Arabidopsis thaliana: one gene and its partners. The protein of the gene in region 3 interacts with the protein of the main gene of each other region in a pairwise test. Each region holds a gene or a part of one and is shown on either strand. Other genes may lie near its edges. The genes, in order: AUX1, EMB2759, AT5G03345 and AT3G06170.

The links.
Region 1: the proteins of AT5G03345 (region 3) and AUX1 interact in a protein complementation assay, tested with the Arabidopsis thaliana proteins (one large-scale study listed by BioGRID).
Region 2: the proteins of AT5G03345 (region 3) and EMB2759 interact in a protein complementation assay, tested with the Arabidopsis thaliana proteins (one large-scale study listed by BioGRID).
Region 4: the proteins of AT5G03345 (region 3) and AT3G06170 interact in a protein complementation assay, tested with the Arabidopsis thaliana proteins (one large-scale study listed by BioGRID).

The regions. Positions count from the first base shown.
Region 1 is NC_003071.7:15,969,541-15,978,555, forward strand, and holds AUX1 (Transmembrane amino acid transporter family protein), read left to right. Parts: upstream 1-3,335; 5' UTR 3,336-3,724; intron 3,725-3,935; 5' UTR 3,936-3,952; coding exon 3,953-4,129; intron 4,130-4,222; coding exon 4,223-4,408; intron 4,409-4,496; coding exon 4,497-4,609; intron 4,610-4,705; coding exon 4,706-4,889; intron 4,890-5,167; coding exon 5,168-5,265; intron 5,266-5,786; coding exon 5,787-5,994; intron 5,995-6,080; coding exon 6,081-6,338; intron 6,339-6,426; coding exon of another isoform or gene 6,427-6,432; exon of another isoform or gene 6,433-7,018; coding exon 7,019-7,252; 3' UTR 7,253-7,640; downstream 7,641-9,015. UniProt on the Arabidopsis thaliana protein: Carrier protein involved in proton-driven auxin influx.
Region 2 is NC_003076.8:25,289,147-25,296,418, forward strand, and holds EMB2759 (embryo defective 2759), read left to right. Parts: upstream 1-3,257; 5' UTR 3,258-3,498; coding exon of another isoform or gene 3,499-3,507; intron 3,508-3,919; 5' UTR 3,920-3,962; coding exon 3,963-3,989; intron 3,990-4,156; coding exon 4,157-4,290; intron 4,291-4,304; exon of another isoform or gene 4,305-4,548; intron 4,549-4,573; coding exon 4,574-5,035; intron 5,036-5,238; coding exon 5,239-5,653; 3' UTR 5,654-5,849; downstream 5,850-7,272. Other genes in the region: AT5G63040 (uncharacterized protein), read left to right, coding at 52-450, 546-880, 968-1,180; AT5G63060 (Sec14p-like phosphatidylinositol transfer family protein), read right to left, coding at 5,936-6,013, 6,133-6,255, 6,355-6,507, 6,595-6,741, 6,920-7,072.
Region 3 is NC_003076.8:811,295-817,446, forward strand, and holds AT5G03345 (membrane magnesium transporter-like protein), read left to right. Parts: upstream 1-2,790; 5' UTR 2,791-2,901; coding exon 2,902-2,978; intron 2,979-3,075; coding exon of another isoform or gene 3,076-3,079; coding exon 3,080-3,128; intron 3,129-3,229; coding exon 3,230-3,421; 3' UTR 3,422-4,013; intron 4,014-4,096; coding exon of another isoform or gene 4,097-4,184; 3' UTR 4,185-4,325; downstream 4,326-6,152. Other genes in the region: AtCDC48C (ATPase, AAA-type, CDC48 protein), read right to left, coding at 1-914, 1,014-1,242, 1,502-1,664, 1,811-1,839; AT5G03350 (Legume lectin family protein), read right to left, coding at 4,510-5,334. UniProt on the Arabidopsis thaliana protein: Mediates Mg(2+) transport.
Region 4 is NC_003074.8:1,864,240-1,871,398, forward strand, and holds AT3G06170 (Serinc-domain containing serine and sphingolipid biosynthesis protein), read left to right. Parts: upstream 1-3,175; 5' UTR 3,176-3,280; coding exon 3,281-3,458; intron 3,459-3,905; coding exon 3,906-4,142; intron 4,143-4,441; coding exon 4,442-4,553; intron 4,554-4,676; coding exon 4,677-5,089; intron 5,090-5,209; coding exon 5,210-5,499; 3' UTR 5,500-5,724; downstream 5,725-7,159. Other genes in the region: AT3G06160 (AP2/B3-like transcriptional factor family protein), read left to right, coding at 87-117, 1,132-1,192, 1,265-1,335, 1,426-1,508, 1,898-2,420, 2,499-2,593, 2,693-2,953.

The DNA of each region.
Region 1 (9,015 bases), on a different chromosome or scaffold from region 3:
TAAAACATGGAAAGGAACAGAGGAAAACTATTATTTGACCCAAAACATATAAAATAAAAATGTAGGAAAAAGGAAATGGACCTACAAGCCGATAGGAGGCTCTCAATGGCAAAAAACGTTCGATAAAAAGGAGAAAAAGGCATCTTTGTAAATGATGAAACGGCGGCGTGTGGGGGCGCAGGTGTTCATAGTGCGCATGTTTCTTTTGCAAAGCTTTAAAGCTTGTGACTTCGTGGCTCGGCTCGGACTTGCTTAGCAACTTTTAAGTCTTTGGGTTCATAGATTCTCGAGTGTTTCCGCTCCCAGCCTACGCCGACACAAGAGCTCTTGGTCTTGGGTTCAGACTTTTTCATTTTTCTATATGTTTTAATTTCGTATTCTTTTTGTTGTTAAAGTTTTATTCTCAAACCAAGAAAACAAGAAATAAAACACACCTGATTATTGATCTAAAAATTATGAATGATGGAGTGTGAAAATCTATAATAATTTTGAGAATTATGGAAAGAAATTTCTGAGAGTGATGAAGCAATATAATTTTTGACTTTTATGCATGCGTGAGAAACATAGATATAATGTAATTAAAAGAATAAATGACAAGAATTGGGATAAAATTTCTCCATCAACATAAATTACAAATTCAATTTTTTATTATAATTTAACTTTAAGTTCATAGTTGGCTTAATTAAAAACACACACAGGTGTTTCAAACATTATATAACCGTTTATCTTTGACCAAAAAATTAATAACCGATTATAACAATTGCCATCTCCTTTAAAAACCGAGTATTAGTTATTAAGTATTAGTATTGATTATTTTTCTAGGTCTAGTAGAAATGCAATTTGGTTTCCAAGTGATGATCAAACTACCGTCAAATCATTTCGAAGTGTTTTTTTTATATCAGAAACTAAGTCGATTTCTGAAAAACGTTGTGATGTATAGCATACGCCTAACTTTTATGCTGAATGTAGATAGCTAGAAACCTAATTGTTTAAAGATGGAGAAAAAAAAACTATAGTGTCCTCCATAAAAAACAGGTCATCTCCGAAGAGTTATTTTCAAAATCGACATTAATGATCAGTTACATATTTTTTAATCATTATTTGAAACAATTATTTTATAATTTTAGCTAAGTATGTGATTAAAACAAATGAAAAAAAAAAACTCTAAAATGGAGGGATGAACATATTTGGGGAAGTGATAGACAATGATATTTCATATTTAACCATTCGTTATTGAATTTAGGAGTTGATAATTGAATGCCTATGAAAAATATGTTCCTATTGTTAGAGGTGGGTTGGAGTCTTGAAGACAGAAGACGCTCTAATATACAACTGAAGTTTGAGTTGCTTGTAAATTCAAGTTTTGTATAATTTATTTTCATTAACTGCAAACTAAAATTTATATAATATTGCGTGAAACAGAAGCAAAAGCAAGCAACTCGTTGGGTAAAATCTGCAGTTTCTGCACCAAATTAAAGAAGACCTGCAACATTGCCGCCTTTACATAAATACACACACTAGATACATAGGCTCTATGTATCTTATAGTATACGATATTTGTTTAGAATATTCTGCAAGTTGATTAAATTTCATGGATCAGTAGACTTGTTTATATTCTAAAGTTTCAAGAAATAGTCAATTTGTCTACGTATAATTAAACCGTTTCTTAGCTGGAAGTTTACGATAACGTATCCAACATTTAAGTATTGTCGAGCCATATAATTAGAGAAAATGACTAGTGAGAACACTGAGAGGTTTAGCAGCTGAGCAAGCAAGTTACTTACAAAACTTGGAAACAAAGGTTGTCACACTAATATTCACACTACGTGAGAATTCGTACAGTGCACATCAATATAATATTTTTAAAACAGCAAAGTGAAAAATGAACATGATACTATATATATCCAATTTATTAACAAAATTTTATAACTTATAGTATCAAAAATAGTAAGACTCATATTAGACCAATATATATTAATGCCTACCTACCTTTGACCTTAGGAGAAAGTATGAATAATTAACATGTATCCAGGAATGGCATTGTAGAAAATACTATTTTACATTACTATTTCATCTAAGGATTGAGATTTCATATGAATTCAATGATTTATATTTACTGCCAATATTTTTTTATCTTACTAATTTAAACGAAAGAGATATTTTAACTTGAAATAATTAGAAAATAGGTTATAGATCATTCAAACATAAAATTATTAAACTGTTCAACTATTTCTAAATGATTTATGTTAGCCGTCAGATAATTAACATGGAAAATTCTAGTTTCATCATGATAATACTCCAACTATATGTGTTAATATGCGTATAAGAGAGAGTATGGCGTAGTATCCAATCATTTCTTAGTATCATGTAGTATTTGGTATATGCCGTATAGTAGTACCCAATTATTTCTTTGATGGGCAAATGCTAATGACTAATGAGTATTTTGCAAACTCATGATCACTGAAAACATGAGCCTTCGGTCGACGATCAGGTGTCTTAAATTTGTCTGCTCTTTAATTTTTGTAGGATAAAAAATTGAAAAATTTGAACTTTAGACCATAGAATAGATTATTCCAGCTAGTAATCTAGAATAAGAATGATGTGAAAAACTTGTATTTAGTGGTTGATCATATAACCAAACCAAAGGATGATTACGTTTTCCTTAAACTCTAAAAACATGCAGATTATTGATCTGTCCATCCTAGTTTTAGGTACGGTATTAAATTTAGATAGCTGTTGAAAAAAAACAAAAGTGAAGATATCTAAATCTAGATATGTTGGAGCAAATCCAGTAGTGGATTCTAAGCAAAGTTTCTAACCTATAATAATAATAATAAAATAATAAATAATATTATTTAATTAAGATAGTTTATAAGGAAATGTGAGAGAGTTTCTAATTCAAGAGATTTTGAAGACTCTTCTAACTATTTTTAGAAACTTTTCAAATTAAATAATATTATTTCTTATTTTATTATTATTTTAGTAGATTAGAAACTATGGTTAGAAACCACCATTGAGTATGCTCTTAATTTATATCCTATAACAAGTCAATAAATCGTCAAACATTAATACGTTGCATTATTTGTTTGTCATCATATCTTAAATATTTCGAATTAAATGATACGTTTTCGTCACACAACTAATGCTTTTTAGTAGATGAAATATAGTAAAATACGATTTTATGTATTTTGAACCCATGTGGCGTTATGTTTTAATTTATTATTGGATAGTAGAAGAAGCCGGAAATTCTGGATGTCAAATAGTCACATTAATATTCAATGCGAAAACGTAAAAAAAAGTAAGATGCTACCGTTACCTAAACAAAAGTTAATGGTGTGATTTTACAGCACCTGTTTAATATTTTTAAAATTACATAAAAAAACCAAAGAGAAGTAAGAAAAAATGAAAAAGAGAGATTGGTATATAAAAAGGAGGAGTAGGGGGTGAAGCCCGAAGCATCTTATAGTATTTTTAGCTTCATTCCTTCTTTTGCTCTGATCAAAGTCTTCTCCTTCCCTTCTCTCTCTCTTTCCTCCTCTGCACATTTCTGGGTTCTTCTCTTCTTATGCTCTGTTTCTTTTAAGACACAGAAGAAACAGTACAGAGTTGAGATTTTCTTAAACAAAAGTGAAAAGAGAAGAAACAAGTGACAGCTCAAACGGACAAAAACCACTCTTGGGTCTTTCTTGCTTCTGATTCTTTCTCTTCTCTAATAGAAGAAAACGTAAGTCACTCTCTCTACTCTCTTTTTTCACACTGAAGAAGAGAAAAAACGTGAACAAAGAACTGTCAATTCTCTTTCCCTCTCTGTTTTATCTTCTTGAATTCTCCAAGATTGAGATCTCTCTCAGTCTCTTATGTGCTCTGTTTTCTCCTCTCTGTTTTCACTTAGTTACTAAACACAATCGATTCTTTCGCTCTGTTTTATTTCTCAGATCTAGAAGCTAAAAAAATGTCGGAAGGAGTAGAAGCGATAGTAGCAAATGACAACGGAACAGATCAGGTAAACGGAAACCGTACCGGGAAAGATAACGAAGAACACGACGGCTCCACCGGTTCTAACCTAAGCAATTTCCTATGGCACGGTGGCTCTGTCTGGGACGCTTGGTTCAGCTGCGCATCTAACCAAGTAAACCAATAAAACCATAAACTAAAGATTCAAAATTTCGGATTTCTCATAGTGAAGAAAGATCTGATTTGTAGTAATTATCGTTGGTTTCAGGTGGCTCAAGTGTTATTGACATTACCGTACTCGTTTAGTCAACTAGGAATGTTATCAGGAATAGTACTTCAGATCTTCTATGGTTTACTAGGAAGCTGGACTGCTTATCTCATCTCTGTTCTCTACGTCGAATACAGAGCTCGTAAAGAAAAAGAAGGCAAAAGCTTCAAAAACCACGTCATTCAGGTCCCCTCTTTAAACCCTCTCTCTCTAATCAGAATCACTAAATCATAATTATCTTTCACTAATCTAACACTTTTAAAAATCTCAACAGTGGTTTGAAGTACTTGATGGATTACTTGGTTCATACTGGAAAGCACTAGGACTCGCATTTAATTGCACTTTCCTCTTGTTTGGATCTGTTATCCAACTCATTGCTTGTGCCAGGTCTGTTATCTTTTAATCATTCTCTTTATCTTTTTAATCACTCTTTAATGATTAAGAATGGAGGATAATTGAAATATGATTGGTGTTTACTTGCAGTAACATTTATTACATAAACGATCATCTGGACAAGAGAACATGGACTTACATATTTGGCGCGTGTTGTGCAACCACTGTCTTTATACCGTCGTTTCACAATTACCGAATTTGGTCATTCCTTGGCCTTGGAATGACCACTTACACCGCTTGGTACTTAGCCATTGCCTCCATCATCCACGGCCAGGTAATGTTTTAATATATTTCACCAAAAATATATTTCATCACATTATAAAGATCACTACACTGTCGTTTTCATATTTATATGCTTTGCATTGAGGTGACAGTATATGCCTTAATTAAAAAGAAGAATAAAAAAAATTCGTATTTTCTCTTTAAGATCAGGGATTATTCTTTGCATCTTAACCCAAATTTGTATTAAAAAGTGTATGTATAATATAACTTAGACAAAATTAGCTGTTTAATATTCTCCTAATCAAATTTTTTTTTTGTTGTTTATTTTAGGCGGAAGGTGTGAAACATTCAGGTCCAACAAAGCTAGTGCTTTATTTTACGGGAGCCACAAATATTTTGTACACCTTTGGAGGTCACGCGGTTACTGTGTAAGTTACTCTTCTTTTGATTTCTTAATGATTATTAATTTTGTATCTAATAAAAGATCAATAAATTTTGTCAGACATAGTTGAATTACTATTTAAGTTAAAGCTAAATGGCAGAAAAAGTATATGGTAAATTAAAATGGTGCCATATTATTAAATTATGGGTGCTGCTGTATCGTTTCTTCGCCGCTTCTATTGCAGCTTTTGCCGGCAAATAAGGTGTAACTATTATTACAGTCATCATGATTGTCATTATTATTTTTAGCAATCCTTAAAATAGTAGTACTAATAAAATAAGCTCTTTTTAAATATAAAATAGAATAACCATTATTATTCCTATCCCTATAAAGAATAACAAACACTATTGCTACCAAAGCACTACTACTACTAGTAGGAATAGTACGCTTTTGCGAAATGTCAAATACACCCTTTTTATGCGTCAATGATTGTTGTGAATCCAATCTTTTACATAGTTAAAGTTTTGGATGAAATTATGAATATTAACAGTAATTTCTAATTTGCAGTGAGATTATGCATGCTATGTGGAAACCACAGAAGTTTAAGTACATTTACTTGATGGCGACGTTATACGTGTTCACGCTAACGATTCCGTCAGCTGCCGCCGTTTACTGGGCTTTCGGAGACGCACTTCTCGACCACTCCAACGCTTTCTCTCTTATGCCCAAGAACGCGTGGCGTGACGCCGCTGTTATCCTCATGCTCATTCATCAGGTATACACATACAACATTTTTGTTCTTTCTTTTTTAAGTAAATTTTGATCATGAGAGATTAATGCAACGTGTTCTTGTTCGTGCAGTTTATAACGTTCGGGTTCGCTTGTACACCTTTGTACTTTGTGTGGGAGAAAGTGATTGGGATGCATGACACAAAGAGCATTTGCTTAAGGGCTTTGGCTAGATTGCCTGTGGTCATACCTATTTGGTTCTTAGCTATTATCTTCCCCTTTTTCGGTCCAATCAATTCCGCTGTCGGTGCTCTTCTTGTTAGCTTCACCGTCTATATCATCCCATCTCTCGCTCACATGCTCACTTACCGATCTGCCTCCGCTCGTCAGGTATAACATCTTTACTAGCTCACTCTCTTTTAGCGTTTCAAAACTCGAACTTAACCTAAAATACATTGAGTTACCAATAATTTTTTAGAAATGAAATGAAGAGTCGGTGGAGGAATATTATAGTTGGGGGGTAGGGTTGTGAAATTGGAGGGCAAAAACGTCTTTTGTGGAAGATAGATGGGGTTCAGTGTTCCGTATCTTACGGAAGATAGGATCATCACCCACATTCCTTACTGGCGTCCCCTCCAAATAATATATTATTGAGTTGGTTTCAGCCATTTCTTTATTTGGTTACATTTAGAAGAAAAAATACAATATCCGGTTAGGTTAGTATTAGTAATTGACCATGACTTCTTTTTCTTTCTCTCTTTCAAAACAGTGTATATTAAATTTACGTAAGATAAAAGTAGAGGAAAATAGGGGAGAGGAATAGGTAAGAGTCATAATCAGAAATGAAAAGGAGCTGTACAATAGGGACTCTATGCCTAACATTAATCTAAAGTGAGAGTCTGAGTATGACAAATCACAATCATATCTCTCTCTCTCTCTCTCTATCTCATGGGTCAACAAAGCTTTGGATTTTGTCCATTACTATACGACCAAAACTCTAAAACACTTACACACTCTCTATTTCTTTAATGGTTCTCTGATTATTTTTGTGTTTTGGATCTTTCTTGTAGAATGCGGCGGAGAAGCCACCGTTCTTTATGCCGAGCTGGACGGCGATGTACGTGTTGAATGCTTTCGTGGTGGTTTGGGTTCTTATAGTCGGATTTGGGTTCGGTGGATGGGCTAGTGTAACCAACTTTGTTCGTCAAGTCGACACTTTTGGTCTCTTTGCCAAGTGTTACCAATGTAAACCAGCTGCAGCCGCCGCACATGCCCCGGTCTCCGCTTTACACCACCGTCTTTGAGAGATCGAGTCAGGGTTCTTCTAATGCGTTTGTGGAGGGTTCTTAAAATTATTTGTTCTTCTTTTGTGTTTTGTGTTCGTATACGTGAAGGGAGTAAAAGTCACGAAAATAGTGTACTTTTTACACACCCCTTTAAATGCGTGCTAAGCTCTTAATTATTTTTTTCTCTTTTGGGGTTTTGTATTTTTGTTTTCACTCCTTAGTTTTTTTTTTAAAATTGAATAGTCGATAATATGTAGTGTGTGATTTCTTAATTTGGTATTGTTAAAACAATAGGCTAAGAAAATGTATCGTCTTCTCTCCTTTTACTTGTCTTTAGTAACAAAAAACAATTCTTATCTTATACATTTATCCTAATTAGACTTATATAAACTATTTTACCATGAACAATATCTTCCGATACTAGATAATTCTTTAGGATCCTATTAGATCTTTTAATTATACAGTTTTGATCATAGCACAGCGACAATACTACTAAGTTTACATTAAAATTTTGAAATAACACTTTAATTTATTTGGAAAATTTGATTTAACGGCAGGGTGTGTTTAAAAATTAAATAGGGGAACATGGACAAGTTGGACCGACGGAGCCGGTCATATATCCTATGGGCCACATGGGTGTGGGGAGAGGACGCACGTGGATACTTCGTCCGAGTCACGTGCCATTATTTACTTGACACTCTTCATCTTCTCTCTGATCAAAAGAATGGATCAGAGGACCGTTCCTGTCCCTCATATTAAATATGGCATGTGTTCGTTCCATTCGTACTCAATCGTTTACCCCTTATCATATGCTCTGCTTTCACATGTACTTTGCCCCCAAAGATTATAACTATATATGTAAAATTATTAACTAATATTCTCGTTTGAATCCAGAGTCCGATTCTTGTACTTTCCATCTGACTTTTTTTTTGTTGGGGGTCAAAATAAAAAAGAACTTTGCAAAAATGTTTCTTCTAATAGCATAAAATCGTTAAAGAGAAAAGAAGAAGTGAATGTGAGTCATATTATGCGATATGGAGTAGGACCCTTGGTAACGTTTGGTTAGTGACCCTTGGTAACGAGTGGGTTCAAATTGTCAATAAACTATTATGTGGCGAGTGGTGAATCGTCTTTAATTTGTTCTGATTTAGGCCATGTGAGTTTTGCAACTACATTTGAGGCTTTTCTTCTTCTTTATATTAGACTTTTTTTTTTTTGTAAAGTGGACTATCTGGATACAAAAAAAATCTCGGCTAACATGGATAAATCTAAGATGGTTGTGTTTGTGAAAAGAAAATTGTTTTATAGTAAAATACGGTATGCAATAAAAGTATTTCATAAAATATCTCATACCAATTATTCAAGCATGTCTTTTCATAACATTTGACTGGCATCTTTCTCTCCTTTGGCCTTAAATCAATTTTTTGTCATCTTGGATTTCTTTTGAGGTATATAGAGCTGTTTGAAAATTTTGATGGCTGAAAATCACTTCACATCTCGATTTCTATATCATCCACTTAACTCGAAGTCAGGAGTAGCCTGAGACGATTAGGTTAAGTTAAGTGGTTATATGAATTTGTAACAACATTTAGATCTTTGTTTCCAATCATCAACCAAGTTTGAGAGACCTTAAAAACGTATATACGCACACCACAAAGTGATATGAATATGCTAAATTGTTTCTGTAGACACACAAGACCGTTGAAACGTCCAGATTAATCGCTTACTCCAGTCGAGAATACTTCATAAACATGGGACTAGAATTGTACCAACACATAATA
Region 2 (7,272 bases), about 24 Mb from region 3:
GAGTGACTTGTGAGTAAGTTTTCTGACTGTATTTGCATTCGTTATGAACAGTTGGCTCTCTTCACATTTCCTCAAGAGGCCAAAAACCAAGCGAAGTCTCCCGAAAGAGAACTTATTTGCCTCTTGCTACTTCAGAAGAAAAGTTCCACTACACTGAAGATACAACAAATGATCCAGACACAGTAAGTCCCCAAATTGGCACCGAAGCTACACCTAGAGATGATGATTCAACTATCCAATACAATAGAAATGACGGGAAACCGGGTTTCATTTCGTTTTACAATCCTCGGAATAAAACTGAGGATATCATTATCCCCCCTGAAACTCAAAGTCCATGGGGACGCCTGCTCTGGCTCATTGGTCCTGCAGTCTTAGTCTCCTCTTTCATTTTACCTCCAGTTTACTTACGAAGAATAGTCTCAGCAGTTTTTGAAGATTCTTTGCTCACAGGTTCGTCTTGCTTCTCCCTTTTCCGATTTACTCGTCACGTTTTCTTCGAAAATTGCAGAGACAAAGTCATTGTATCTTTCTTCCTCTATTTGCAGACTTCCTCATCCTGTTCTTCACCGAGGCTCTCTTCTACTGCGGAGTCGCTGCATTTCTTCTGATAATAGACCGCTCAAGAAAAGGATCCGGAAAAGTTCCCCAGAACCGAATCAATCCTTCTCAGTTAGGACAAAGAATCTCCTCTGTAGCAACATTAGTGCTGAGTCTCATGATTCCAATGGTGACAATGGGATTCGTCTGGCCATGGACTGGACCTGCAGCATCAGCTACTCTTGCACCATACCTCGTTGGTATCGTTGTTCAGTTTGCATTCGAACAGTACGCAAGATATCGTAACTCTCCATCATCTCCTATCATCCCCATCATCTTTCAGGTATGTGATCACTCTTCTTCAATCAACACCTCTCAAAAGATATTTCACTTTAACACACTTTTGAAGGAACCTTTTTGGGTTTTGTAGGTATACAGACTTCATCAGCTGAACCGAGCGGCGCAACTAGTAACAGCATTGTCATTTACGGTTAAAGGAGCAGAGGCAACAGTTAATAATCTGGCAATCAAGAAATCACTGGGCACACTTTTGAATGTGATACAGGTTTTGGGTGTGATTTCAATCTGGTCTATATCTAGCTTCCTCATGTGGTTATCATCACCTTCCCAAAACCAGTCTTGATGTATGAAAACATCTTTCTTATTATTATTACAGAGAAGAGAATAACACAGATCTGTCTCGAGTTCTTAACTGTAAAATCCTTTACCTTTTTAAAGATTTTACTTAGGGATCCAGTTATTCTGAAACTTAAAAGATTCAAGTGGAGATCTGATTCCAGTTACAAAATTTGAGGTACTTTGTGACGCCTCAATTTACCCAACACATTTGGAAATTGGAATTATTGGGTAACTGAAAAGTTGTCAAAAGCTAATCTATTTGTGGTAATTGGATTTTCTTCCTAAAAATAGTATGTACATATCACTTTTGGTCGAATGTCTCCTTGTCTAAAAAAAGGTCCATAATGTTCTGTTCAAATTCATGTCTTTTTACGTGGCTGCATAAACTTCATCTAAGTCCCAACATTTTAACTACCTCAAACTGTCAACGTCTTGGAATAATCAAGTCCCCAAATATTGTCTATATCAATCAAATATCATAAAACTTCTCCACAAGGCACCAGGAATGTAATTATATTTAACACAAAAAGATATCGATATTAATAAAAAAAACTTTATACAACCCTTTATTTGAAATCAATTGGTAAACCAAAGTACAACAATAAACATGCCTAAAAGTCTAAAACAATTAAAAAAAATTCAAAACAATTTGTTAAGTAGAAAATTCAAAATTGTATGCCAAGGTAAAAAATCGATTTCAATATTACTGAAGAGATATTGAAATAGCGATCTTTTACATACCGAAGGGTCAAACATGATAAAGGCACTCAAAGATTAATATGTGCAAAAGATGGCCGCTCTGCCTACCAAAACGACATGACATGCGGATGGAAGATTTTTGCACCATCATACGTAAGTGTATACACTACTGTGTAAATTTCTCATATCGAATATACCATCTCATATAAAAAGCTTCCTATCTTGACTAAGAAATACAATAAAACTGTAACGACTATTGGAATGAAACCTCAATAAAACACCAAAAATAAACAGCTGCAAATCTAAATATTAGAAAGATTGTAACATTTTTAGAACAAGATCCAGATCTATTCTCTAACTGACCAATCAACTATCACCAACGTGTAAACAAGCTAACACATAAGTTTATGGAGTTAGAGAATATCTTCTACCACTTAAAAAGAAAAAGAACGAAAAACATGGAAGAGAAATATCGAATAAGGAGGAGACAGACAAAGGAGGCTTCTAAAGATAATGAAGGTATATGCAAAAGAGGTTTGGTTTATATAGAGAGAGGCTTGGAAATTAGGTCAATGGTGTTTATTAGTCGGTCGATGGAAATAGGCAGAAATTGGAAATAATATAAAAAGGCAATTTTCTAAGAAAAGAAGGAAATCTGTTTGGTCAGCGGGCAGCTACCCGGTGAATTAAACAATTCAGCAACTTGTCTGAAACAGGCAGCCTCGAGACTCCCACATGATCTTCCCGGTTCAATTTGGTTTACAAGTCTAATTGTATTTTAGATTTCGGTTTGGTTTGATTTTTCTTCTTTTTCTTTCTCAAGGGCCCATTTAGCATGATTTCTCGCAAGTCTACTATTGGATTAACCGATTAAGCATTAGGCCGAAGCCTAGGATCAAAATTCAGGGTATAAAGATCCATATATCGCTTGACTAAGTTGATAAACATCCGACCACAACCCCTTTTAAGTCCAATGAAATCAAGTTGTTAGTTAATTCATTGTGAAACTAGAGATTCAAGTTTTGGTTCCTTCAAAGATATTCGATATAAAAGAGAGGACTTCAAGTTTTGAGAACGTAATTACATGTTTCACGTCGTGGTTTTCAAAAAAATGATTATAAGAAATGTTATTTTCGTGTTGATTGTATGATTTGAAGAAACAAAACATCATGTAAATCTAAATGTAAAGAGCTTTTTTATCTTGAAAAAAGTTGATAAAAAAGTTGTGAAAGTTCTATTCAAATGATTTTTTTTTTTGTTAAGACTATGTTCTTCAACTCGTTATTTGACTATTTAAAATAGAAAATCAATTGTGATTTAATAAAAAAAAAAACTTAATAGTAATTTCTCCGAAACGACGACGTTTAGAGGTGTTGGTATTAAAAAACCTTTGATTAACCGCTTGCCTGCAATCTGCTCTCCTATCTCTTCCAATCTCCTCTCCTCTCTATCTATCCGCGTCCCCATTTCTTCTTCCCTCTAAAATTCCAATCTTTCTTATTGCTTTTTTTTATTCAAAGCTTCAAGATTTTCACTAGGGTTCTTTCCCTTTCTCTTATTCGATAAATTCTGTTCTTTTCTTTCGTATTCTCACGGACGAACAAACCCCAAGGCAACGAGCTCATGATTGAGGTCCGTTCTTCTGCTCTTTCCCTCTCAGTTTCTTCGCAGCTGTTTTCTAATTTGCAATCTATTTTATGGATTTGGGGTACTTTTGTTAAGGGAACAAAACCTATCATTTTCCAGGTTTCTTATGGTTGCGCTTTAGATTTTATAGTTTAGTGTAATTTAATCTGATTTGGGGAATTGGGTGTTGGATAAGAGTGTTTTGCAGCTGAGAGGATTGAAAAATTGAATATTTATGATATTTAAGCTCGCTAATGAGGTTCTCTTACTTCGGATTTTGCTCAGCTTCGCTCCTGTCAAGTAATTTTTGTTGTGATCTATATATGAAATTTCCTTTTAATGTTTTATGGTCGCTACTTGTGATTTCATCATCTTTGGAGGTTACAATCATCTTATTCAATCCTTTCTTCGGCCTCAGATTGTGGCTTTTGAGTAAATGATTCACTGCTCAGCTAGAGACAATGGTGTTGGTAACCCATAAATTGCAGGTATCTTAGACATAGATCTGTAAAGTCCTAAATTCTACTTTGTTTTGTGTCTCTGTAATGGTCATGTCTGCAAATGGTTGTACCTTCCGTTTCACTCTTGTAAAGCCTTCTTTTACTTGCCACACTAGAAATATAGATGTTTACCTCCCCCTTGTTCTCTCATGTAGGGTTCACATGTCTTGTCTCCTTGGAGTTCGCCAACATGGACCAGAGGCTTGTGTTTAAAGAGACCTGTTACGACAGTGCACTTTGTTGAGAGGAAAGATAAGCATTTACGATTGAAGCAAAAATGTTGTTTTAGGTGAGTATCCCACTTTACAAATCCCTGCTTAGGTTATGTACTACTTAGTTTGAGACTCATTACTCTCTCTGTACGACTGTACTCTAGGAAGGTAGATACGTAGTTATATTGTGGATTAAAATGTGCCTCTTAATACGCTGAGACCTATCTGTTAGCTAAGAGATTCCTTGTTAGATACTGAGACGTATGAACATATAGGAAACTATACTAAAAAGTTATAGTTCATATATTCCCTTTGCAATTGATTCTCGGAATCATAATATGTTGTGAAACTCTTTTGCAGTTTAGGGTCCCCTTGCAACGGTGGATTGAGAGCAAAACCTTTCAGAGTTACATCTTTTAAAGGTGGCATCCAAAATAATGAATCAGGAGGAAGTGAGGGTGGGAAGAAAGTTACTAATAACTCTGTCAAACTATCTTACCGTTCAGATGATGACGAAAATAATGTGAATGGCTCCCCAAAGGCACAGAACACTTCGTTTTCATATACCTCGGAAACAGAGGATTCCATGACAGGGCAACCCGCTATTCAGAAACTATTCAAGAAATGGTTGACATTGTTGCGCACACAGTCACCTATTCAAGTGATTGACGAGACTTTAGGAGGAGAACAGGTTCCACAAACGACGAAGCAAGAAACTGAAACAGAAATTCGGAAAGCAGAAAGTCTCCAGAGTACCAAAAATACAGTTTGGTCCTGGTTTTGGAGTCTAGACGCAGCTATCAAGATTCCGTTGCTGTTATTGTAAGTATCAGCATCAAAGCATCTTTTTCTTTTGCTTGATGAGGTAGTCTAGAGTTAGTTATCAATAGAGGAAAATCGACTAGATGTGAACTTATATTCAAAAACTGTCCTTAGGAAGATTTAAGAGTGTCACAGCCACTTTTTTCTTTTCCAAGTTCCTTGTATGTGTATTGACTATACTTTCACCTTGACCTTTTTTGTAGTGTTCCAGCTTTCCTAGCTGTTTACGCGATCTGTGGTGCTGAAGTTACAAAGGAATTATCCCCTATGTGGGTGGTTGGCCCCTTGATCATCGCCCTTTATATAAAAATGTTCCAAGGACTATGTTCCCTTTACGCCTTCTGCTTCAACCAAACCATCAAAATGATAAGAAACCTACCATCGTATTATCTTGTAGCATACCAATACATTGCCGATGGAAAGCTCAAAGACGACGTTAAAGCTCTAGTGTTTAAACCAGTGGTGGCCATCAAGAACACAGACTACAAAGAGCTCACACGCACGAAGCTGAAACAGTTCCAAGAATGGATCATTGAGAAATACCTGGATTTTGTTGAATCTGTATGGCCTTATTACTGCAGAACTATCAGATTCCTGAAGAGGGCTAACCTGATTTGAAGATCTTCAACATGGAACCCTCAAATTCTGACTTCTCAGGGCTTCTCTATGATTTCTCTCTGTGCTTTGTTTACCTTTTTTTTTTTTTTTCTTAATTTTAGGAAGGCTTTTCATGTTGTTTGTTCTTATCTCTATGTATACTGATACCTTTTTTGAGGTTTTACAATGAGTTCTTTTAATATTAAGGGTTATCCCTTTTCTCCATACTTAAAAATTATCTATACACATATAAATCGACAACAACAGAAGAAATAAGTGCTTAAAGGTCTCTTATAAACCTCTTTAGCTCCGGAAATTTGATGGTAATGTTTCTTCAGTAAAGTACTCCTTTCTGACGGTCTCTGCTGAGCAAAACTTGACCTTCACATAAAGCAAAGTATAAAAATCCATCTAGTCCAGTCCTCTGAATAACCACACTATGTAGTATATAGCAATTAGAATCGATGCATAAAAACATAGCAATATGGTATGGAAGTTACCAGAGAAGCGTATTGCTTCACCAACGGTTTAGTGAATTGCCAAATTGGCTGAAATATGAATGGAGCATCTACAAAAAGGACTTCATCCAATCGGCTTGGATAGTAATAGTAAAATACGTCAAACTGCAGAAACAAAACAATGGAAAAGACAACAATAAGATCAAAGACCATTCACCTGTAAGAAGATACAAAAACCATTCACCTGTAAGGAGAAAGAAATACCAGGAAAGTCAAGAACTTAAGATCTGCGTTCTGAGATCCGAATCCACGGAGATCAAATATCCCAAGTATCTTGTGTTGTCCTGCTGGTAACTTACTTAAAGCCTTTTCAAGTAAGAACACACAAAGCTTTTCATCTTCTATTGGATCAAGCAGCTGCAAAACGTCAGACATTTCACAAATCCTCAGCTATAGTAAATCTGCATTGCTGAAATTTAACAAGAAAACTGGTGTCTAACTTGCCCCGGGGATGTGCTTTGCAGGAGCTACAATAACCACTGGCCGACCTTTAACATCTAGAAAACCATGTACATAGGCTTTTCCAGTGTCAGTAGCTGCTTTAATAGAATCTTCAGAAAGCTCATCTACCTTGAACTCATGACGCCATTTCTAAGCTTTTAAGTAAAGGATAACATGGAAACCAAACCTTATCAATATTACCAAAACAAAAAACAACATGTGATTTGATTCTACAGGTTCTACATAAAAGTGAAGTCTCTGGCAACTTTCTAGATTCATTATAGTGAAGAATTGATAGAAGATAAAGAAAACACAAGGAAGAGGATACAATAGCTTTAGTTAGCTTTCCAATGGCTTCATCAACAGAAAATCTGCGATCTTTCAAAAACCAGAGGATCATATCCTCATCATCTCTTCCATATTTGCCAAGTGGGAGACTAGTACAATCTTTCGCAAGCCGTTCTTTTACTTCCAAAACTAGCTGCACCACATGTTCACAAACCCAAACTTTCATTACACAATCCCCTCAGAACTCAGAAGACACATTCCATAGTCTAAACATCCAATTCAATGGGTATTGTGGAACTCAAGAACCCAATTCTGAGACCACATAAGCAAAAGACTAAGTTTTTATTTTATTTCTTAAACAGAGCTTCCAATGCCAACAATGGAAGAAAGAAA
Region 3 (6,152 bases):
GAGGATTTCGGCGTCAATTGAGTCATCTTCCAAGTCAATCACATCCATCTTCTCTCTGATACATTGAAGGGCAGCTTCAGTGCATAGAGCTGCAAGATCAGCTCCAACATATCCATGCGTGTCCTTGGAGATTCTTTCTAGATCAACATCTTCAGCTAGCTTCATGTTCTTCGTGTGGATCCTAAGAACTTCAAGACGTCCAATTTCATCAGGAACACCGATATCAATTTCCCTGTCGAATCTTCCAAACCTTCTCAAAGCCGGATCAATACTGTTGGGACGATTTGTTGCTCCCATAACAATAACATGGGCACGTGATTTTAGTCCATCCATAAGCGTAAGGAGCTGAGAGACAATCCTCCTCTCAACCTCACCATTCGTCTTCTCTCTTTTTGGTGCAATAGAGTCAATCTCATCAATGAATATGATAGACGGGGCATTCTTCTCAGCCTCCTCAAATGCTTTCCTGAGGTTGCTCTCACTCTCACCAGCTAGTTTCGACATGATTTCCGGTCCATTGATACAGAAGAAGAATGCTCCGGTTTCATTAGCCACAGCACGAGCAATAAGAGTCTTCCCGGATCCAGGAGGTCCGTAAAGCAGAATTCCCTTTGGTGGCTTCACACCAATTGATTTAAAGAGTTGTGGATGCCTCAAGGGAAGTTCAACCAATTCCCTAATCTGAGCCATCTGTTTCCTGACACCACCAACATCGTCATAACCAACCTCATCAAGCCTTTCTTCGTCCTCCCTCTTAACTGGTTCACCCTCACAGAAAATCTCTGTATCTGGAGCCACCACACAGTACTCAGCAGGATCAGTCTCGATCACTTTGAACTCCACACTCCTCATTCCTCCTCTCACTAGGAAAAGATCTCCCTTCCTCACTGGACGGTACGCCTCCAGAAAGTAAGCTGGTGAAAAAAACAATATAAGTTTAGAAAACACGAACTCCAAAAGACAAGCTAGACTATGATATGAAAGAGAGAATCAAAAGATTAAAGCAAACTTACGTTTCAGGTAAGCATCAAAGAGGTTTCCAGTAACGCCTTCAACTGTATCATCAACAGGCAAGATGTGAACACGCTTTCCATACTTGACATCTGGGCATTGGTGAACAGAAATAACATCTCCCAGCCTAACCCTCAAGTTAGACCTTACAACCTTATTCATTCTGATCTTGGGTTCCTCACATGTTTCATCAGCGAGGGCAATGCATACAGTGTCCTTCCTCTTCTTACCCTGAAAATCCAAAACCCCAATCAAGTAAGTAATCACAGAGATAAAAAGAACAATCCAAACCAATTCTAAACTCAAAAAAAAAAACTTCAGACAAAAAAGTTGTACCCTAACTGAATATGTTTACAAGATCAGACAAAGTAAAAAACATAACTGAATATGTTTACAACATGCTCGTGATATACAGTCAAGACACAGACGATCCAAACCAAGTCTAAACTCAAAACACCCTAACATAGTGACATAAGGAACAAAACCTAACCTTGATGAGAATTGTATCGCCTCGGAAAAGCTGGAGTTTTTCCATGGTAGTAGGATGGAGAGAGACAACAGAGTTGTCATCGTTAATAGCTTCATCGACAACAAGTCGGTTTGGAGACTTCTTCCTCTCTAGAATCGCAGTACTGAAATCCTTCTTAGTTTTCCTGAAACAAATACCCCAGGAAGACAAACAAAATCAGCTTTCAGATGAGATCAAACTAAAAAACCCTATTCTCAATATCGAAAAACCCAAGTAAAAAAATCGAAACTTTATGATCGGAAAACAAAAATCAAAGATCTAAGTACTTACGAGTCGGAGGATTCCGGTTCGTTTGACATAATGATAGCTTAAACTGACAAGAGAGCTCTAAGAAGGAAGTTGGGAAATTTGTTTCTAGAGAGATCGATTGGTGATGATGATGATGATGATGAATGGGATCTCAAGGGAGCTGAACTCGGGATTTTATACGCTCTGTGATTTCCTTCTTGTTGGAAAAATAAGCGACCCTTAACTTTTAAGTTTATCTTGAAAAGTTCCAAAAACTAGGTGTTGTGATAAATACACCCATGTTCCCTTAACATCATATCAATTAATTTATATTATTATATGATTTATCGAGAATCAAAACAAAAATCTACCTATATGAAGAATTAAAAAATTTGATGTAATTTTAAACTTATTTTAATAGTGTGGCGAGGGTACGTAAATGTTTATTAAAAACGTTATGGGGGAAAGTTGAAAATAAAAGTAAAAGAGAGGTGAGGATAACAGTTTTACTTTCTGGTTTTAGCAAACACAAGAAAGGAATAGAAGGTTCTTAGGTAGCGGTACCAAAGCAAGCTACATGTTTTTCTTACTTTTTTATAAATAGAAATTTAATATCTTACCATTTGATTTCTTTGTTCTAAAATAGATTTCCGTTTTTTTTATACGAAGTTATCAACATACGATTCAATTCAATAATTGCAGAAATTTTTGTTTGCATATGAATATATCATCAATATGAAATTCTAAATAAATATTCATAATTATTTATTATACGAAAAAATAATTATTTTCCCAAAAGATAAACCCTTATTGTTGTAAAAAAGTTATCAAACTAACTGAACTTTCATCTAATTAAAAATATTAGTTACTTAAAAAAAAGTTTGGGTTACAAAAGATTAATAGGAATCTAGGATATCATCAATCTAGAACTACGCGCCGTTGTTAGTCTCTTCGATATTAGACGTTGCGCCGTTTTCACTTTGAGATTTGCGATATTATAACTACATGCCGTTTTAAACTCCACTGATCGTCTTCTATTCTAGTTCGATTCTCGACGGAGAATACTCGACGAGAAAATCCAGATCGGGAATCAACTTAGAGAAGAAGAAAATTAAAAAAGAGAACTTCTAAAGATGAATTTGGGGTTCTTAGTTGGAGTTTTCGGCGTTCTTATTCTTTCTCATGCCGCTTATTCAACAATCCAATGTATGTCTACTCTTCCCAATCCAATTCCAGTTCCAATTGAGTCAGATCTACTTTAATTTTCGAGATAGGATCTTGATTTGGGTTTCTCTTGTTTATTTCAGATAGAGGATTGTTGAAGATTATGGAGGAAGAGTTTTCTCGACCACCGATTAATGTGAGTATATAATGATAACGGTTTCTCTTTTCCTCAATTGTGTTTGAATTATATCAGCAATGATTATGCTTTTATATGAATCATGATTGGATTTATTTAAGGTTATTCTGGAGTTGATCATTGGACTAGCTCTGTGTATGTGGGCTGCTTTGACTTTCCCTGGTAAATTTCTCTCGATCCATCCGGATTCTGATGAAAACAGGTTTGTGATCATGTTTCTCTCGAACTCTCTGTTTTGCATCAGTGTTAATCAATCTGAATTCATGTTATCTAGTGAGTGTTTTTACTATTGAATTTTTCTCTGTTCGTACTTTGTTGAACTTGGTGTAGAGTTACTACGGGTCTTATAGAAGCATCTTCTGGCTAGATTTGGTTCAATTATTCAGTTTAATCATGGGTGTTTCTAGTGAATATGTTTTCTTTTGACTGAGAAGGTTTACGGATGTGTTGTTAATCAATTGATTCAAAGAACTTGTGCTCTAGAGATGTTTCGAGGGTCTAGTTTTGATGTCTCTTTAACTCTCTGTTGTGCATCAGTGTTTATCAATCTGAAACATGGAAATTTGGTAGTTATTATATTTCCCGATGATTGAATGACCACCAAAGACTCATGTTTATTGATAAGAAACTGTCGTCTAGAGATGTTCTAGGTCAAACATTGATGTTTCTTTAATACTTTGTGCAGCTAAGGTTTTCTAAAATGCAGGACATTCAAAGGGACATTTTCTAGTTTATATTTGGTCCAGTTACGATTATGGGTTTCAAGAGCTTTAACCAGTTCTGCTCCTGGCTAATTCAATCAGTTTATATTTGTTTCATTGGCTCTTTAGACCCACTTTGGTTCCTTCTATGTCGCAGCCTCTCCCCTACCTTTTTGTACATTAGGTTCTTGAATTGGTTTTGAGTTTGGCTTTTGCTAGATAAAGTGAATATCTCCTGTTAACTGGTTTCTTTCAAAAAATTTGCAGGGCGGTGTTTTTACCAGATAATTCGGATTTCATGATATTCAATCACCGTGGCAGACTGTTCCCACCGCAGATCGACATGAAGTTTTGAATTTTTATCACACTGCTTAGTCAAACACTGATCTGTGTAATGTTATGAGATGTTTCCATTGAAATTCTACTCTAAGTAACTACTCTGCTTTGCATCAATTTTTGATTCTTGAAACGAGTCTTGTGATGTTTCTGTGTGTCAGGTCTCTACTTAGAATCTTTTAGAATGAAGAATCAACATAACAACAAGTGCACAGGTCCTAGCAGGATAGGATACTGTGTAAATAGTCAAATACAAACAATTAAAACAACAAAATTTGCTATTTTATTCATTCCGGTTACAACTTTCTGATACATTAGAAAAAGCATAACCGAACAGAACCGGTTTAGATTCTCTTGGCACTGTTCTGGAAGGTCCAACTCCAAATGTCATGACGTTCAACGCCACGGCCCATGGCACCAGAAAAACCGGGGTACATATTTTGAAGAAAAACCTTAGAGAGATCTAAATGGGCAACGATCAAAGGCTTCTTAGGTTTCTTAACGGTTTCTGGCGCGAGAGTAACTGTAACCTTGGAGTTTCTATACTCAATCCAAGCCTTGTACCTCTCTCCATTACTCAGCTTGAACTCTTTAAACGACCAGTGTTTCATTTTCCCAATTCCTGTCTGAACCCAATAACCAGCTTTCTCAGCAACAACGGAAGTAACAGAGTTGATATTAATCCCGACATGGTTATCATTAATGTCTCCAAAACCTTTGTCCTGAAAAACGTCGAATTCGACAGCAAAGATGTGGTTTTTGGGGTTGCCATTGTTGGTTTTGTTGAATATCCCGAGGTATCCAGCGGGTCCAGGACCGTCACTTTCAATGGAAGGGACGACAACAAAAGCAAGGCCGTGACCAGGGGCGGGTTTGATGCGAGTAGAGATGGAGAAAGTGAAAGAAGTTTCAAATGGATAAGGAGAAGAAGAGTTTGAAGAAGGCTTGAAAGGGACTGGAGTGGACCAAAGACTTTGGCCGTGAGAGAATGGGTTCTCGTCTCGTGTCATGGAGAGAGCTCCGGAGCGGCTGACGCCATCAGAAGCAGGACCGAGCTCAGCGTCTCCAAGGAAGACCAACTCTGAGGTTTTGAGGTTGAGGTTGAGGTTGACGGCGGAAGTGGTGTGAGCTAAGAGCAGAGCAAGAAAACAGAGTTTATGAATCTTCATTGCGTTTTCGTAACTGCTGTTTACTCAAGTGAGAGTTTGAAAGAGTGAAATTATTAACGTGGTGATTTATAAAGAGTAAAACATAAGCCCATGTACATGACGTCATATTGTATGATGTCAAGTAAACGCATCACCTACAAGATTTCCTTATCCTTTCCATAAATTGAACTCGACCAATAAAAAACGTGATTGTTAATAATGGAAAGAAAAAAAAATTAAAACAAAATCATCGAATGGTCACATCAGCACATGACATTTTGTCAAGTAAACGCGTGAAGACACTGTTGTGAATACACTCATTCAGCAGAGTATGTGTACAGTGTACGCATATCTCGTATATTAGATTGTACTTGTCTTTTGCGATGTGAAAGCATAGTATACGGTATCATTATGTGGATGAATGAATAGAAAACACTACGTCAAAAGGATAAGGAAAATCTAGTGGGTTCTTTAATTCTTTACCCACCACATAGACAACACTACGTCGTATAGAAATTTACTTAGAGAGTATTGAAGAGGAACATAGACAACCTTGTGTTTCTTCGGTGTAATTGGTCTAGAAAAGGACCAATGCAATGCAAAGATCGATTGCTGTTTATTTTTCTACGAGAGATATTTTCAAAGAAAATTCACTCAGGAAAAAGTAATTTGCTTTGCATCCCAAATTCTCATCAGTTTATCACACATATGAAATGTTCAACAATCTTACCATTGATTTCTTAGTAAATCGATCTCTGATTTTTCGTTTGAACGATTTTTAAATAGTAATCGTAATATTGTAGTTTAACCCAAAAATACTTGCACAATTGGTTAAAAAG
Region 4 (7,159 bases), on a different chromosome or scaffold from region 3:
TACGGATTGACGGTTATACCCCTGATGTTTACTGGATTTACCATGACACCAACCCGACGACCGCGCTAAATAATTGCCCAGCGGACATGTGGGCAACGAAGTCGCGTCGGTGTGCCGGTAGGGGTACTGTTGTCTTTTACTTTAAACAATTAATACGTCGTGTATGGTGTTGATTGGCGTCACATGCATTTGTTTTGTTATTGTCCTCTCTCTCTCCACCGTCGCTCCTATTTTCTCTGCAGAAGTGAAAAGAAAAAAAATTGTTTTGTCAAAAAAATGGCTCAATAAATAAGACGATTGTCACTTTAAAAAGAAAATAGTAATTATCCAAATATCAATTTCAGAGATTTTTTTGGCTAAAAAGATAAAAGAGCTAGCTCAGATGTTATAATTATCAGTAAATGGAAAACCGTTGGAGATTTAGTACAACTAACAATTTTTGATAAGACAATATAAGAATTTTCTTCTTCTTAGATTAGTAGTTGTCTATTTTCAATACCACTTTAGCTTAATCAAAGTGTCCATTCACATTATTCACAAAAATAGTTCATCTATTTTATTAATCTTCTTACTTTGATTCAAGAATTCCTTTTTTTTTTGTTGTTGCTCAAGATAGAATTTAGCTTATACATAAAAATGATACTTTTTCGCAGTTTTAAAATTCTCTAAGAAACCAAACTGATAAAATTTAAAGCGCAAGAGAATATTAAAGTAAGAAAAAGAGTAAATTATTACAGAATCTCCTCACTAAACGAGCTTATACGTTAATGGCTCTAATCTTGAATATGTTGTTGTTGGCCGTTGAGGCTGTGTTTAATCATGTGACTTTTAACTCCAAAGCTACCAAAAGTCTTCGGCCCAAGAGAAAAGAGCTACATGAGTACATTCTACATTCTTCAGCCAATAATGAGACTCCCTACTATCTTAATTATTGGGCCGAATATGGGCCTACATTAACTATTTAATGGGCTTGATAGTATTGTTAGCATCTAGCTTTTTATGATTTTGTTTCAGTGAGGAGAAAAACGCTTTCTCAATTATGAACTCTGCATCTTTGTCACTGATTCTTCTCACCTGATCTGTTGCAGATATTTGGTCAAAGAGTTTATTAAAAGATAACATAATATAAAGTGAAAAAGCAATGCTGCTTTCTCTCATTGGTTGTGCATAGAGCAAGGACAGAGAAAAACAGGTTCGTACGTAAGAAACACACATTAACTGTGTTCTGCTTCCTTTGTATTCTCTCACTTTTCTCTTTTTTCAGAATTCAATCTCTGGAAATTTTCTTCCTAAAGATTAAAGAGAACCGTTTGGACCAGATCAGCTTGCCTCTTGGTAATGGTCTCTCTTCTCTTTGTTCCCAATTTCTGTAGCTTTCTTCTTTCTCCCTAACTCGTCTGCTCTCTTTGTCTCTTCCTCTCACAGTTCATACGTCTTCCATGGCTTCCGGTGATGTTCTTCCTAGATTCTTCACTGTCTTCCTCTCCCATTGCAGCTCCGAATCCATGGTGAGATTTTTCTCTGGAATATTTCATGGAAAAAGCTGCTTGGGTTGATATGTTTCTTGGATACAGTAACGATGTGAATGAGATCTGCAACATTATCTTAATTCTTAACTCTATATGTTTAAATCTCTTGACACTGACAAAAGTTTTAACTTTCTTCACTAATGAGCTCAGGATTATCTCTGTTTGTGTTACTTATGTTTGAATATGATAGAGTATGTCAAACTAAACACTGAATTTCCTCAAAGAGTTTTCTCCTTTGTTGAAAAAATTGAACAAGAGGTCTTGGTCTTGTTGTTTGTCTGTTTACCTCCGCTTGCAGACAGAGTCTTTAGCTTATATTTTGCTCACTTTTAACAGTTTAGTTTATGCTACATCTTTGTGTTGAGCAGGTGATACCAAGGTCTTACTACAATCTTTTACCACGTCCGTTGCCCAAGACTGCGATTCTCATCGGAACTGGTGGAAGATTTTGGAAAGTAGCAATGACGAGCAAGCAAGAGCAAGTGTATTTTGAACAAGGCTGGGGAAATTTCGTTGCTGATAACCAGTTAAAAGAGGGAGAATTCTTAACTTTTGTGTTTGATGGGCACAAAAGTTATGAAGTAAGTATCTATGGTCGTGGAGATTGCAAAGAGACTCGAGCAGTCATTCAAGTTGAAGAGATCTCTGATGATACAGAAGATGACAACGTTTCTCTTCATAGCCCTAGCAATGTTTCACTTGATAGCCTTAGCAACGATTCTCATCATAGCACTAGCAACGTTTCTCTTCGAAGCCTTAGCAACGATTCTCTTCATGGTGATGCTGAGATAGAGAGCGACAGTGAGTATTCTCCCGAGAACCTACCCTCAGCCTCTATATCTGTTGAATCCGTTGAGGTGGTGAATCCAACAACAAGCAGGCAGAGAAGTTGTAAGTAAACATTGTTCTTTTAACTGATGCTTATAACCGAAGCTGTTTAGAATTTGATCTCAAATGGGAATTTTGCAGACAAGAGGAAGACCATTGAGAATCCACATCTGTATTTGGATGATCCAAACAATGTCTGTTTTGAGACGTGTCTTAAGCTTAGAAAGTTTGAGCTGGTAAGACTTCATTAGATATTATTATCTCGTCTCATTAAAAATCCTTTCACGAGTTGATGATTATTTTTCTAACTAAAGCTCTATATACATTATGCACAGTTAGTTCATGCACAGTTGGTGAAAGACTACGGCTTGATATTCAGCGACAATGTTGACTATATTGACGGATATGGAAAACTAACCGCGAAAACGACCAAGTGGGCAGATCAACGGGTTTGCATAAACAAATGGCAGAAAATATGCGAGAGAAACCAGTTCACAGAGAATGACTCCATCCTATGTGAAATTCTCCGCAACGAGGACAAAGTGGTTTATGCAATCAAGATTCACATCTTCCGCGATGCAGCAGCAAGCACTTGATTCTCTGATGCAGTTCTGCAATTGTGTTTCTTCTCTTTCGAGTCTAGTCTTTTGTAGTAAACTATTAGAATGTCTAATTTCAAAACATGTTTAAGACTTTTGAGTTCTCTTGTAGACTTTGAAGTAAACACAATGAGGAGCAGGCTTAAGCTTACCCGTTAATCACTCTGTTTCTCTTACAAGTTACAATCATGTAAAATGGGTTAGAATGATCGTTTTAATATGTTAGGTACAGATTTCGTAATTTCTCGAAAATGTGATATCTCTTCTTCACAACAGAAGAACAGATTATTGTGAAAGTCAAAACAAAAAAAAATCTCTGAAACAATGGCGTGTTGCTTAGCTTCGTGCTGTGCGTCGGCGACTTGTGGATTATGCTCGTCGGTAGCATCGGGGATATCGAGGAAATCAGCGAGGATCGCTTATTGTGGTCTCTTCGGTGCCTCTCTTGTCGTCTCCTGGATTCTTCGTGAGACTGGTGCTCCGCTCCTCGAGAAACTCCCTTGTACGATTCTCTCATCCTTTTCTGAACTGGGTTTGTGAAAAAGGAGGTTCCTTTTAGCCGAGATTGATGATTGGAATTGAAAGAGACCATCAAATTTCGAAATTGGGTTTTCTTTGATCTTGTCAATTGGAATTGAATCCGGTGGTTAACGATAGATTTGGGTGATGTCTTGTGCTTGAATCTTACTAAGCGTTTAAGTATGAATCTTAATTTGTATTGGTTCAGTGGAAATTTGGTTGCTTTGTAGCTGCAACAGATTGATAATTGTGTACTAGAACTTTAGAAATCTCAATCTGTGTTGATTTGGATGTTTTTCAACTTTCAATTGCGTTTGTTTATGCTTTGTGTTAACCTGCTTGATCTAAGAGAGAATTTTGAGTGTTGCAAAAGGAAACTTCATCGCCTATTGATACAAATCTCCGGTTTTGGATGTTGTTTGACAAACAGGGATCAATACTTCTGATTCATATACCAAAGAATGGTATCAGCAACAAGCTGTTCTTCGTGTGAGCTTTGGGAATTTCCTCTTCTTTGCAATATATGCTTTGATCATGATTGGTGTCAAGGACCAGAATGACAGGCGTGACTCGTGGCACCATGGTGGGTGGGGTTTGAAGATGATTGTCTGGTTTTTGCTTGTTGTCCTCATGTTTTTTGTTCCAAATGTTATCGTCTCGTTATATGGTAAGTTTTTTTTGCTCCTCATAGTTTCCAACATAAAGTGCTACCATATCACGTTATGTTTATGTTATTGGAAATTCACTGGTTTGCAAAATTCCATTGCTGTTATTTTATCAAGTATTAGTTGATGATCTTAAATCGGGCTGGTTGGCAATTTGTGTGATTATATATTATACTTTGGTGTAGCTGCAAGTATGACAAGGAAATTTGAATATCTGCTAAAAGACTGAGACTTTAAAGTTGTGGATTTTAATATTAAACCATATATGCGGGCTAATCTTAGTGCTTGCACATTGTTCTAGGAACGTTGTCAAAATTTGGTGCTGGAGCGTTTCTGTTGGTTCAAGTGGTCTTATTATTAGATGCTACACATAACTGGAATGATTCATGGGTCGAAAAGGACGAAAAGAAATGGTATCATCAGCATCTCTTCTATACATTTGTCCTGTGTTTGTTCCAATATTCTGTTTTGGGCCTTTTTTTTTTGTTGAAGTTTGATAAATTATAATTTTCTGACTAATGGGATTCTTTGTGCAGGTACATCGCTCTGCTTGTCATATCAATCGTGTGTTACATTGCTACATATACCTTCTCAGGAATCCTGTTCATCTGGTTCAACCCATCTGGTCAGGATTGTGGACTTAATGTTTTCTTCATTGTCATGCCGATGATCTTGGCTTTTGTTTTTGCGATTATTGCTTTACATCCTGCGGTGAATGGCAGTCTTTTACCGGCATCAGTTATATCGGTTTACTGTGCTTATGTCTGTTACACGGGCCTCTCTAGCGAACCACATGACTATGTGTGCAATGGCCTTAACAAATCCAAGGCAGTGAACGCAAGTACTCTCATCCTTGGAATGCTCACTACGGTTCTCTCGGTTCTATACTCCGCCCTCCGAGCTGGCTCTTCCACCACATTCCTCTCGCCACCGTCTTCACCCAGATCAGGTACCTGAGCCAACCTCTTCAACACGCCTGGGCATTGGTTTTTTCGGTTTTGTGAATAATAATTCTGAACCAGACTCGGATTTCTGTTTCTTCTTTTTTACTGGAAACGTTTTTTTTCAGGTGTGAAGGATGCATTGTTAGGGGACCCTGAGGACGGGAAGAAGAGTGGTGAAGCCGAGGCACGGCCTGTGAGTTACTCATACTCCTTCTTCCATATCATCTTTGCGCTTGCGAGCATGTACGCTGCAATGCTTCTCTCGGGATGGACTGACTCATCAGAGAGTGCGACTCTGATCGATGTGGGATGGACCTCGGTCTGGGTCAAGATATGCACGGGTTGGGTCACGGCCGGACTCTACATATGGACACTCATTGCACCACTCATCCTTCCAGATCGCGAGTTCTACTAAACAGAGGGTAACATGTATATAGTCCGGTCCGTTGAATGTTATGTATATGTTTATGTAGTCACTTATAGTGGGTATGGTCTTGTTATAATTATGGTAGTAGTTTGTGTCGCGTTCTAGACTTGTAATTGAAGAAACCTCAACTAAAAGACCTTGGATGCTGTTTGAATGATTGTGTTGTTTTATGATAAATAGTAGGCCACTAAATTTGGACTATGGTAGAAATGCTCAACTTGAAGTCAAAGAATCATTAGAGTCAACAGGAAAATTTCAGTAAGAATCCAATCATAGTTTAAATTTGATCTAATCAATCATTAAAATAACTAAAACCACTAGACATTAAGCAGCCTTTTCCCTTTTGTTATCATTGCTATTAGAATTAGTTTTAGTTATACTATTGTTGATTCTTCCTTGGGCCTTCTCCTTGGAATAATCCTCAAGGACAAAATCTTTTATGTTAATCCGACAAACCATGTTTTTTTTCTTAATTCTTTAATTGTATGGCTTATAGCAATTATTCATATCCTTTTACTTATGACCAATGCTTTATACACACAAAAGGTTCCAATTCTAATGTACTCTTAAATTTTCCTATATCTCTCTATCGACAAATTGTACAATCATATGACAATGATTAGTATGTAAAATGTTGTTGTCCCCAGTCCCCACTATGATACGGACACAAATTTACATTGTTTAAGAAAATACTGATAACAAACCATTTAAATATCTTTAAACAACTATTTCGTATGGATAAAAAAAACGTAGAACAATTACACATATTTGACCATCTTCGCATTACCACATAAGAAGAGCGTATCAATCATCATGTGATATAGACCAACTTTATAAAGCTTATAACCTCTTTGTTTGTTTTTTGGACTGTAAAAGAAACCTCATTTGTCAGTCTTGAAAATTTGAAAGCAAGCCAATCAATAAAGACATGACATGACTTATTAAACGGCTAGTGAAACCAAAGACATATGACATACGTATGATTTGCTGAAAACTTAGATGAATATAAGTAGAAACTATCGGCATTAAAGTACACCAATAGCAAATCTGAAAATTAATTGAAATCCATTATAGTTAATTTTCGTCCGTGTGTATATAGTTATTGACTTATTGTATTCTCCATAATTTCAAGTGAGAAGATGGACGAACTCTTCTATGTAATGTTGTTAACCATGTGGAATGCTGATTAGCATCTATATTTCAGATTAAAACAACAACATCGTTTACCTCTAAGCCTCTAACATAGGACATAATTTATAACTTTAATGAAAACGATCTTCTTTGGTCTTTGGTAGACTTTAGCTACTAACTCTAGACATTTTTCTACCGTTTTATTTTTTAGTTCAGCTTCTGACCAGAACAGATTTATGATAACTCAATCATGCTATAGAAGTACTTAATTATTTTGGTCATTTGTATTTGACAGAATTCTTAGTATTATGTATTTACTCTTTCATAATGTACTCTAGATTTTAATTTTATAAAAATACTATAGAAAGAAAGTAAATCATTTTCTTATAATTAAACAAGAAGTTATCATACATAAATGTAATTAGATTTTTATATCCTAGAACAACAAAATGTTGATATAAATATACACCATAGATTGTACATAAACTTTAATATTATTCATGCACTTATTAACTAT